Macaca fascicularis: one gene and its partner. The protein of the gene in region 1 binds, or shares a complex with, the protein of each later gene. Links are inferred from orthologs where the notes say so. Each region holds a gene or a part of one and is shown on either strand. Other genes may lie near its edges.

Evidence for each region. Proteins that work in one complex are often made in the same cells at the same time.
Region 2: TAF11 (region 1) and TAF9 share a complex: the UniProt entries of both Homo sapiens proteins name them as parts of the TFIID basal transcription factor complex. The link is inferred for Macaca fascicularis from reciprocal best matches to the Homo sapiens genes TAF11 and TAF9.

Annotation. Positions count from the first base shown.
Region 1 is NC_088378.1:136,805,502-136,809,893, forward strand, and holds the start of TAF11 (transcription initiation factor TFIID subunit 11), read left to right. Parts: upstream 1-1,288; 5' UTR 1,289-1,373; coding exon 1,374-1,544; intron 1,545-4,392. UniProt on the Homo sapiens protein: The TFIID basal transcription factor complex plays a major role in the initiation of RNA polymerase II (Pol II)-dependent transcription.
Region 2 is NC_088380.1:75,041,460-75,045,946, forward strand, and holds the start of TAF9 (transcription initiation factor TFIID subunit 9), read right to left. Parts: upstream 3,050-4,487; 5' UTR 2,989-3,049; coding exon of another isoform or gene 2,961-2,988; intron 1-2,960. Other genes in the region: AK6 (adenylate kinase isoenzyme 6), read right to left, coding at 2,961-2,988. UniProt on the Homo sapiens protein: The TFIID basal transcription factor complex plays a major role in the initiation of RNA polymerase II (Pol II)-dependent transcription.

The sequences.
Region 1 (4,392 bases):
CGGGCAACGCACCCCCCAAACCGGCTGGGGACACCACCCCCCCTCCCTGCCTTTTCTCCACGAGCGCGTCACTTCCGGGATCCGGCGTCACGCGTCACCGCGCCCCCGCGCCCCGCCCCCTAGCTCACCTAGCTGGGCGGGGCTCCGCGGACCAGCGCAGGTGGATTTTGCTGTGCCGAGACAGGCCTCACGGGTTATGGGGACAGCGCCTTGTGGGTCCCCATTATATAGGTGGAAAGGGACAAACAGGCCCACCTGTACGCGCCTCCCGAAGTGCGCTCCTTCCCTAAACGTTTTGGGAGCTCCTGGGACAGGAAATACGGCAATTCGTCCAGGCAGCGCAGAAACAAAGAGATAAATATGGTAACGCGCACCTACATTTCCAAGGACATTCTTTAAGCACGCATAAATTAAATATGTAATAGGTGCTGGGACCTAGTCATACCCAGGTGAATAAAACGCCCTCCCCCTCGTATCTCTATGAGGGAAGAGAAGAAAATTTTAAAATAGAAATATCCTCACCACTTCATCCTCCCAGTACATGAACTAGTTCGTTAAAGTGAAACGTTCGAAGGAGACACCTTCCTCTCTTTAGGCTTTCCTCTTAGTTTTGGTAAGATTAACCAAAATGATAGAAAAGTGTCAGACTTGTAGAAACAAACCTCAATCTTGAATACTTGCGAACTGAAAAAAAATCATTTAATTGGATAGAAACTATGTGTGTTTTGTTCCCTGGTACTAGCACTGTTTCTAAATCGAAGTACGCAGTCAATAGTTGTGGATGAATAAATGAATTGGATAAATTCTGCTCAAGCTAGATGACTTTTTGTTGTTAAGGTGCTTGCTGAATGGAGCGGAAATGCTAGCAATTCCACGTACACACAGACCCGCGGTTTCGGGCCAGTTGAAATACACAAGGTTGAGTCTTGCCTGAAAGTTTACCAATCCCGGGTAGCCTCATTCCACGACACCGCCATACAACGGAACTGAGTTTTCTCCCGATCCCCCAACTTTACTCTGAGGGGTTAACGAAGGGATTAACTGGTATTGAATTTTTAGACAGGCGAAAAGGAAAAAGTTATTTAGTAAACAAAACTGCGCTCCTTCACAAGTGCTGGTTTCCTAGCTAGGAGGATCCATAGTCTGAGCTCTTTACGTCCAATTTTCCCGCTTCCCACTGTCGCCAAACCAAAGTTAAAATGAGTCCTCTAGTCCTCTACGCGCGCCTCAAAATGACCCCTCAGGAGAGCGGTAGGGGTGATGTCATCGCTGCGCGACGACAGGAAGTAAGATACTGTCCTGTGCAGCTCGGGGTTCCGAGCTTCTGCCTCAGACATCGCCGCGATCTCCTCTCCCCTCCAATCCTATCCGTGATGGACGATGCCCGCGAGTCGCCCTCCGACAAAGGTGGAGAGACAGGGGAGTCGGATGAGACGGCCGCTGCGTCCGGGGACCCGGGGGCTACCGACACGGATGGAATCCCAGAGGAAACTGACGGAGACGCAGATGCGGACTTGAAAGAAGCTGCAGCGGAGGAAGGCGAGGTAGGAAGAGATGTATCGATGAGGCTGAAGGAATACCCAGAGATCGTGTTACTGGGTGCTTGCCGGGCTTCTGGTTAGTCCCTCCCAAGTTACGAGAACTCGAACTCACCAGAACTCCCTCCAGATCGTTAATCTTGAGGGGGAAGAGAGCGGACGACCAAACAGAACTCCAGTGCTGGTTCCGTTCCAGAGGCTCAAGCACTGCGTTAATATTTTTAGTCTTGTCAAGGGATTAAAGCTACTTCTAAGGGAGTTTTAATAGCCTATTGGCTTTAGTGGTGAGGAAACTGGGATCCAGTGTCACACTGAGACGCAGTGCAAGAGCTAAAACCCAGGATTCGTAGCACCCCTTTCACCGCAATATGGTTCGTCTTAGATGTTAAGACAACTTTGTTTCTTTATAGGAAGGAGGGTCGATCAAACCTGTCAAAGGGAGATAGACTTTTATAAAAGTGTCGCCCGGGCTGTAGTACAATGGCGCGATCTCTGGCTCACTGCAACCTCCGCCTCCCGGGTTCACGCGATTCTCTTGCTTCAGCCTCCCAAGTAGCTGGGATTACAGGCTCACACCACCATGCCCGGCTAATTTTTGTATTTTTATTAGAGACGGGGTTTTACCATGTTGGCCAGGCTGGTCTCGAACCCCTGACCTCGTGATCCGTCCGCCTCGGCCTCCCAAAGTGCTGGGATTACAGGTGTGAGCCACAGCACCCGGTGATCAGGGACCCATCAGTTGGGTCTGGTGTTTTTATGCTACAGAGAGTTCAGCAGTGTTGCCTAGCTGAACATTGGTCAGGACCAGAAACTCATCGTTCTCTGGATTACATTTCTGGAAGTAGAATCTTGGGGTCTTAGAGCTAGAAGGGATTTAAGAGATCGTGGGGTGAACAGTAGATTAGATGGAAATAGCCTTTCAGTGTATAAAGTTGCATAAAAATATATAAAGTAAGAACTTTTAGAAAAAGAGAAAATTTGGCCGGGTGCAGTGGCTCACGCCTGTAATCTTTGGGAGGCGGAGGTGGGTGGATCGCCTGAGGTCAGGAGATCCCCAATATGGGGAAACCCTGTCTCTACTAAAAATACAAAAATTAGCTGGGCATGGTGGCAGGCGCCTGTAATCCCGGCTACTTAGGAGGCTGAGGCACAAGAATCGCTTGAACCTGGGAGGCAGAGGTTGCAGTGAGCCGAGATCGCACCACTGCACACCAGCTTGGGTGCCAGAGTGAAACTCCGTCTCGAAAAAAAGAAAAAGAGAACATTTGACAAAAGTATTTTAAGGCAGGTTTCTTTTTTTGTTTTTGTTTTTGTTTTTGAGACTGAGTACTCGCTCTGTCACCCAGGCTGGAATGTGCAGTGGCGCGATCTCGGCTCACTGCAAGCTCCTTTAAGGCAGTTTTTGTTGGTTTGTTGAGACAAGGTCTCACTCTGTCACCCAGCCTGGAGTGCAGTGGCACAGTCTCTGCCTCCTGGGCTCAAGCAACCCTCTTATCTCAGCCTCCGCAGTAACTGGGATTGCAAGCATACTGCACCACGCTCAGCTGAAGTTTTTGTATTGTTTTGTTTTGTTTTGTTTCGTTTTTGAGACGGAGTCTCGCTCTGTTGCCCAGGCTGGAGTGCAATGGCGCAATCTCGGCCTACTGCAACCTCCGCCTCCCAGGCTCAAGTGATTCTCCTGCCTCAGCCTCCCCAGTAACTGGGATTACAGGCACGTGCCACTGTGCCCAGCTAATTTTTGTATTTTTAGTAGAGCCAAGGTTTCACCAAGTTGCGCAGGCTGGTCTTGAACTCCTGACGTCATGATCCATCTGCCTCAGCCTCCCAAAGTTCTGGGATTATAGGCATGAGCCACCGCACCTGGCCAGCTAAAGGTTTTTTAAATATTGTTTTGGTAGAGACAAGGTCTCATTATATTGCCCAGTCTGGTCTCCAACTCACTGGGCTGAAGTAATCCTTCCGCCTCAGCCTCCCAAAGTGCTAAGATTACAGGTGGGAGCCACCATGCCTGGCCAAGAAGGAAACTTTAAAACAGGTGTCAAGGACAGCAAGGATTTGAATAATTAGCTTGGTACACTAGAGAGCTCACTACATATATAAATTTGCACCGAACAGAGGATAAAATTATGTTGTTTCTGAAACACTTTTAAAAATCAATCATGTACTAGACCATGAAGAAAAATATGAATTCTTAAAAGTAGATATCATAACAGGCCACATCTTGTTAATGCAATGCATTAAACTTGAAATTAACTACAAAAAGCTTCTCCCCCACCAAAAAAGAACCCCCTGGAAATTTTAAACTATTTTTTAAATAGCCTTTAGACTAAAGAAATTAACAGAACACTTTATCAAATGATATGGGATTTGGCCAAAGCTTTATTTAAAGAAAAATGTATAGCCTTACATATTTTTATTAACAACCAGAAGATACTGCAAATAAGCACCTGACTCAAGAGACCAGATAAAGGGCCTAGTGGAGTAGGTCACACCTACAGACCTAGCTACCTGGCAGGCTGACACGGGAGGATCACTTGAGGCTGCAGTGAGCTATGATCCAGCCTGGGCAACAGAGTGAGTCTGGGGAAAAAACAAACAAACAAACAAACAACAGATAAAGAACAAAATAAATCAGAAGAGTGTAGGAACAAGGAGTTAATAAGGATACAAGTAGACACTAATGAATTAGCACATTAAAAAACATAAATGATAAAATTAAAACCTGATTACTTAAAATGTAAATGTACATTAGAAAATATGAAAGGCTATAGGCACTAATATGGAGATCTTTAAAGCTATAAAAACATTTAATGTTCAAGTTTAGGCCAAATAAATGGGAAAATCTGAGAAAAAC
Region 2 (4,487 bases), on another chromosome or scaffold:
CCAATTCAAACTGCCTGCTGCTACCATGGAACTACTCAGAATAAAATTAGCCACCTCGTGCTGGGCGCAGTGGCTCATGCCTGTAATCACTGCACTTTGGGAGGCCGAGGCGGGAAGATCATGAGGTCAGGAGATCGAGACCATCCTGGCCGACATAGTGAAACTCCATCTCTATGAAAATACAAAAATTAGCCAGGCGTGGTGGCACATGCCAGTAATCCCAGCTACTCAGGAGGCTGAGGCAGGAGAATCCCTTGAACCGGGTGGTTGGAGGATGCAGTGAGCCGAGGACGCGCCACAGCACTCCAGCGTGGTGACAGAGACTCCGTCTCCAAAAAAAAAAAAAAAAAAATTAGCCACCTCGAATCAATTACAATACTTTATTTACCTTTTTCTTCTTTTTATTTATTTTTATTTTATTTTTTGAGACGGAGTCTGGCTCTGTCGCCCAGGCTGGAGTGCGGTGGCCGGATCTCAGCTCACTGCAAGCTCCGCCTCCCGGGTTTACGCCATTCTCCTGCCTCAGCCTCCCGAGTAGCTGGGACTACAGGCGCCGCCACCTCGCCCGGCTAGTTTTTTGTATTTTTTAGTAGAGACGGGGTTTCACCGTGTTAGCCAGGATGGCCTCGATCTCCTGACCTCGTGATCCGCCCGCCTCGGCCTCCCAAAGTGCTGGGATTACAGGCTTGAGCCACCGCGCCCGGCAACCTTTTTCTTCTTTTAAAGTCAAGATATCTCTTTGTTACCCAGGCCAGAGTGCAGTGGAACTTGGCTCACTGGAGCCTCCACCTCCTGGGCTCAAATCCTATCTCAGCCTGTCCAGTAGCTAGGACCACAGGTATGCACCAACATGCCCTGGTTAATTTTTGTAGAGACGGGATTTGGCTATATTGCCTAAGCTAAGCTCAAACCCCTGAGCTCAAGCCATCCCCCCACCTCCACTTCCCAAAGTGCTGGGATTTACGGGCATGAGCTTTAATTTACAGGCTCGTTTGCTTGGCCTATTTGCTTTAATTTAAAAAGATTTAAAAACTGTTCATTGGCCAGGTGTGGTGGCTCACGCGTGTAATCCCAACAATTTGGGAGGACAAGGTGGGAGGATCACTTAAGCTCAGGAGTTCGACACCAGCCTGGCCAACATGAGACTGTCTCAAACAAAAACAAAAACAAAAACTGTTCATGTTAAAATTTAAGCAGTCTTGGCCGGGCGCGGTGGCTCAAGCCTGTAATCCCAGCACTTTGGGAGGCCGAGACGGGCGGATCACGAGGTCAGGAGATCGAGACCATCCTGGCTAACACGGTGAAACCCCGTCTCTACTAAAAAATACAAAAAACTAGCCGGGCGAGGTGGCGGGCGCCTGTAGTCCCAGCTACTCGGGAGGCTGAGACAGGAGAATGGCCCGAACCCGGGAGGCGGAGCTTGCAGTGAGCTGAGATCCGGCCACTGCACTCCAGCCTGGGCGACAGAGCGAGACTCCGTCTCAAAAAAAAAAAAAAAAAAAAAAAAAAAATTAAGCAGTCTGAAAGACACCGTATTACCTCTACTGACCCCTTGCACCCTTCCCTAGAGATAACCACTGTAAACCAGTTTCCTATACAGGTATATATTCCCAAAAAAACCCTATTTATGTTTGCATATAAATGTACATGTATGTATGTACATACTCTTTGTAATAAATACAATATATATTCCCTTGTACATAAATGACAATACTATATACATTGTTCTTTACCTTCCTCTTATGATACCTATTATAATTACATTTCAAGATCATCAAATTCATAATTTTCAGCTATTCAGGTTTAACATCCCTGAAATTAAACTTGAGCATACAGATAACAGGGATAATCCAGTTCCCTTATCTAGGAGAATAACAGCCACCCCAAGTCCACTATAATACACCAAGTCTGAAGTCTGGACTCAACATGTTTTCAATAAAATGCTCACTTTTATTGTCAAAACATTTTCAATAAAATGTTTTGACAATGACTTAATAACCAGGGCACTATGTTTGATCCATACAAAAAGATGTAAAATCTTCTGCTTAAGGAATCTAAAATGCTAAACATTATTTGTGGGGTGGTTAATCTGCATCTCTCAGAAACAGACATGTCTTGTGCGCTGCCAACAATCTTACGTTTGGGTGAATGATGTAACTGTACTGTTTCCACAGAGTCTTAATTTTTCTGTACGCTACAATAAAATCTACATGCATTAGATTTTTCCACGAATGGCCTACAATTTAATAAACGCTTTCAGGACTGAACGGCTAGCAAAAATATTCGTTGAAGTCGTTTTGCAGCATTTTAGTTCCCTTTACTGATAACACGCACCCTGAGTATGGCTTCAAAGACCCACTCCTACGCGAGAAACGACCCGAAATGCTCACTAGATGCCTTCTTTTTAAGGGGCGGGGGGAGCCTCTGATGTAACTCAACAAAAGCATACAGTAATTTCGTCACGCCACAAACATCTGAACTCATTTACCGAAATCTAATCTGAGGCGTTTATCAGAAGCAAAGGAAAAAATAAAATACGGCCCACGGAGGCCTAAGGAGTGAGGAATCCACCATTAATGGCACTACTGGGAAGCAGATATGGCCTTATTTCCCTGAAAATTTCAAAGCCTACCCTGCCAAAGAATTAACAATCCATTTTACAAACGAAATACCAGATTCCGAAAGACTAAGCGGGTTGCTAAGCAGAAGAGCTGGATCTGCCGACCTCTCTTCACCTCCCCCGGGAGCCTCGGGCCAACGGAAATAACGTTCCGCGTCCCCTCCCCCGCCTGCCGCAACGCCCGTGAGGGTCGGCTCCCGGGACGCTGACAACCGCCTCGTGGCCCTCTGCAGGCCTCCGAAGACGGCACTGAGAAACTCCTACCTGGGCGCCCGATGCCCAGAACACTCCGCGCCCCTCACCTGCCCCCGCCCATCCCCTCCCGGCCGCGCGCCCTGACCGGTGAGCAGGATGTTCGGAAGCAACATGGTCCCCGCGGCGACGGCTCCGGGCGCCTAGCTCACGTGCCCTTTGCTCTACGGGGAGGAGCCGGAAGGGGTGGGCGACAGCAAAAGCCCACGGCCCCAAGGGCCTCGAGGCCCACCGCGGCGCCCCTAGCCTGTCCCTGCGACCCAGCCGCGGCCCACTGGTTACCTGGCTTTCGATGACACATTTCCATCGCAAAGTTGGAGGGTGGGCGTAACTCGGGTCGGTACTTCGGGTCAGGCAGTGCGCTGGATGTCTAAGTAACACACTCCTTCGGAGGTCCCCGCCCTTCGCTTGCGTCGCTGATGCGCCGACCAGTCTGGAAGGTCCCCGGGAGGCCGTACCTCCGAGAGGCTCGGCGTTGAGCCCGGGTAGGGCCAGGTGGCTGCCCTTTCACGTAGGTTAGACCCCGGTCGCCTCAGCTCTTTGCCCAAAAGGGGATGCAACTCCGGGAAAGTAAGGCCGCCGCGGTTGCGGCTATATTACGTGTATGTCTTAGAGACGCGAGTCTATCTCTGCCTTCGAGCTTTCCTGGGCTCGCGTCGCTCCTCCTCCCGACCCGCCCATCCCATCTGGGGATGAGAAGATTGAGGGTGCAAAGCCCTGTCCTGCAGCGGGGATTTGCGAGCTCAACCCGGCACCCCACTGATTATAGGATTACGTTGAACGAATATTTGAGCTTGGTATACCCTGTTCACTGTGTGGGGTGGTGGTGGGTCGGCTAGGAATAGTCTTGAAGGTCTGCCTCTGACATCTCATTTCAGGAACCTGGCATCTTCAGGGACAGTTACTTGCTTTTTAAAGGAGGTAATTGTCAATCTTGTTTTCAAGGGTGAATAGAGCCCTGACCGTGACAGTAGTCTTCTTTTCTTTTGGCGGGGGGGTGCGGAGTCTCACTCTTGTCGCCCAGGCTGGAGTGCAACCTCCGCCTCCCGGGTTCAAGTGATTCTCCTGCCTTAGCCTCCGGAAGGGCTGGGATTACAGGCGCCCACCACCACGCCCGGCTAATTTTTGCATTTTTAGTAGAGATGGGGTTTCACCATGTTTTGGCCGGGCTGGTCTCGAACTCCTGACCTCAGGTGATCCTCCCGCCGTGGCCTCCCACAGTGCTGGGATTACAGGCGTGAGCCACCGCGCCCGGCCCCTGGTCTGCATCTTTTATTTTGAGCTGCAAACTATATTTACTCAAATAGGTGGTTTTTTCCCACTTGTGTATCTGTTGAAACGTCACAGTCTCTAATCCCGAACGATTTGGGGCGGAGGGCTGAACAATGTGTTTTCTAGTGTGTCGGGGTGCTTATAGGCTATGTGTGCCTCCAAACTGTAAAATAGTCCGGTATACTTTCCGGTGTATAAGTTTGTAGGCCTTAAAATTTTTTTCTGGCTAACTTAAAATTGTTGAATTCACTAGTTTTGCATAAACGTTTAAGCATTTGAAAACACGGTTGAAAACCACAGTGTTACCAAGAAATGTTCTAATAACGTGTTCAAATGAAAACAA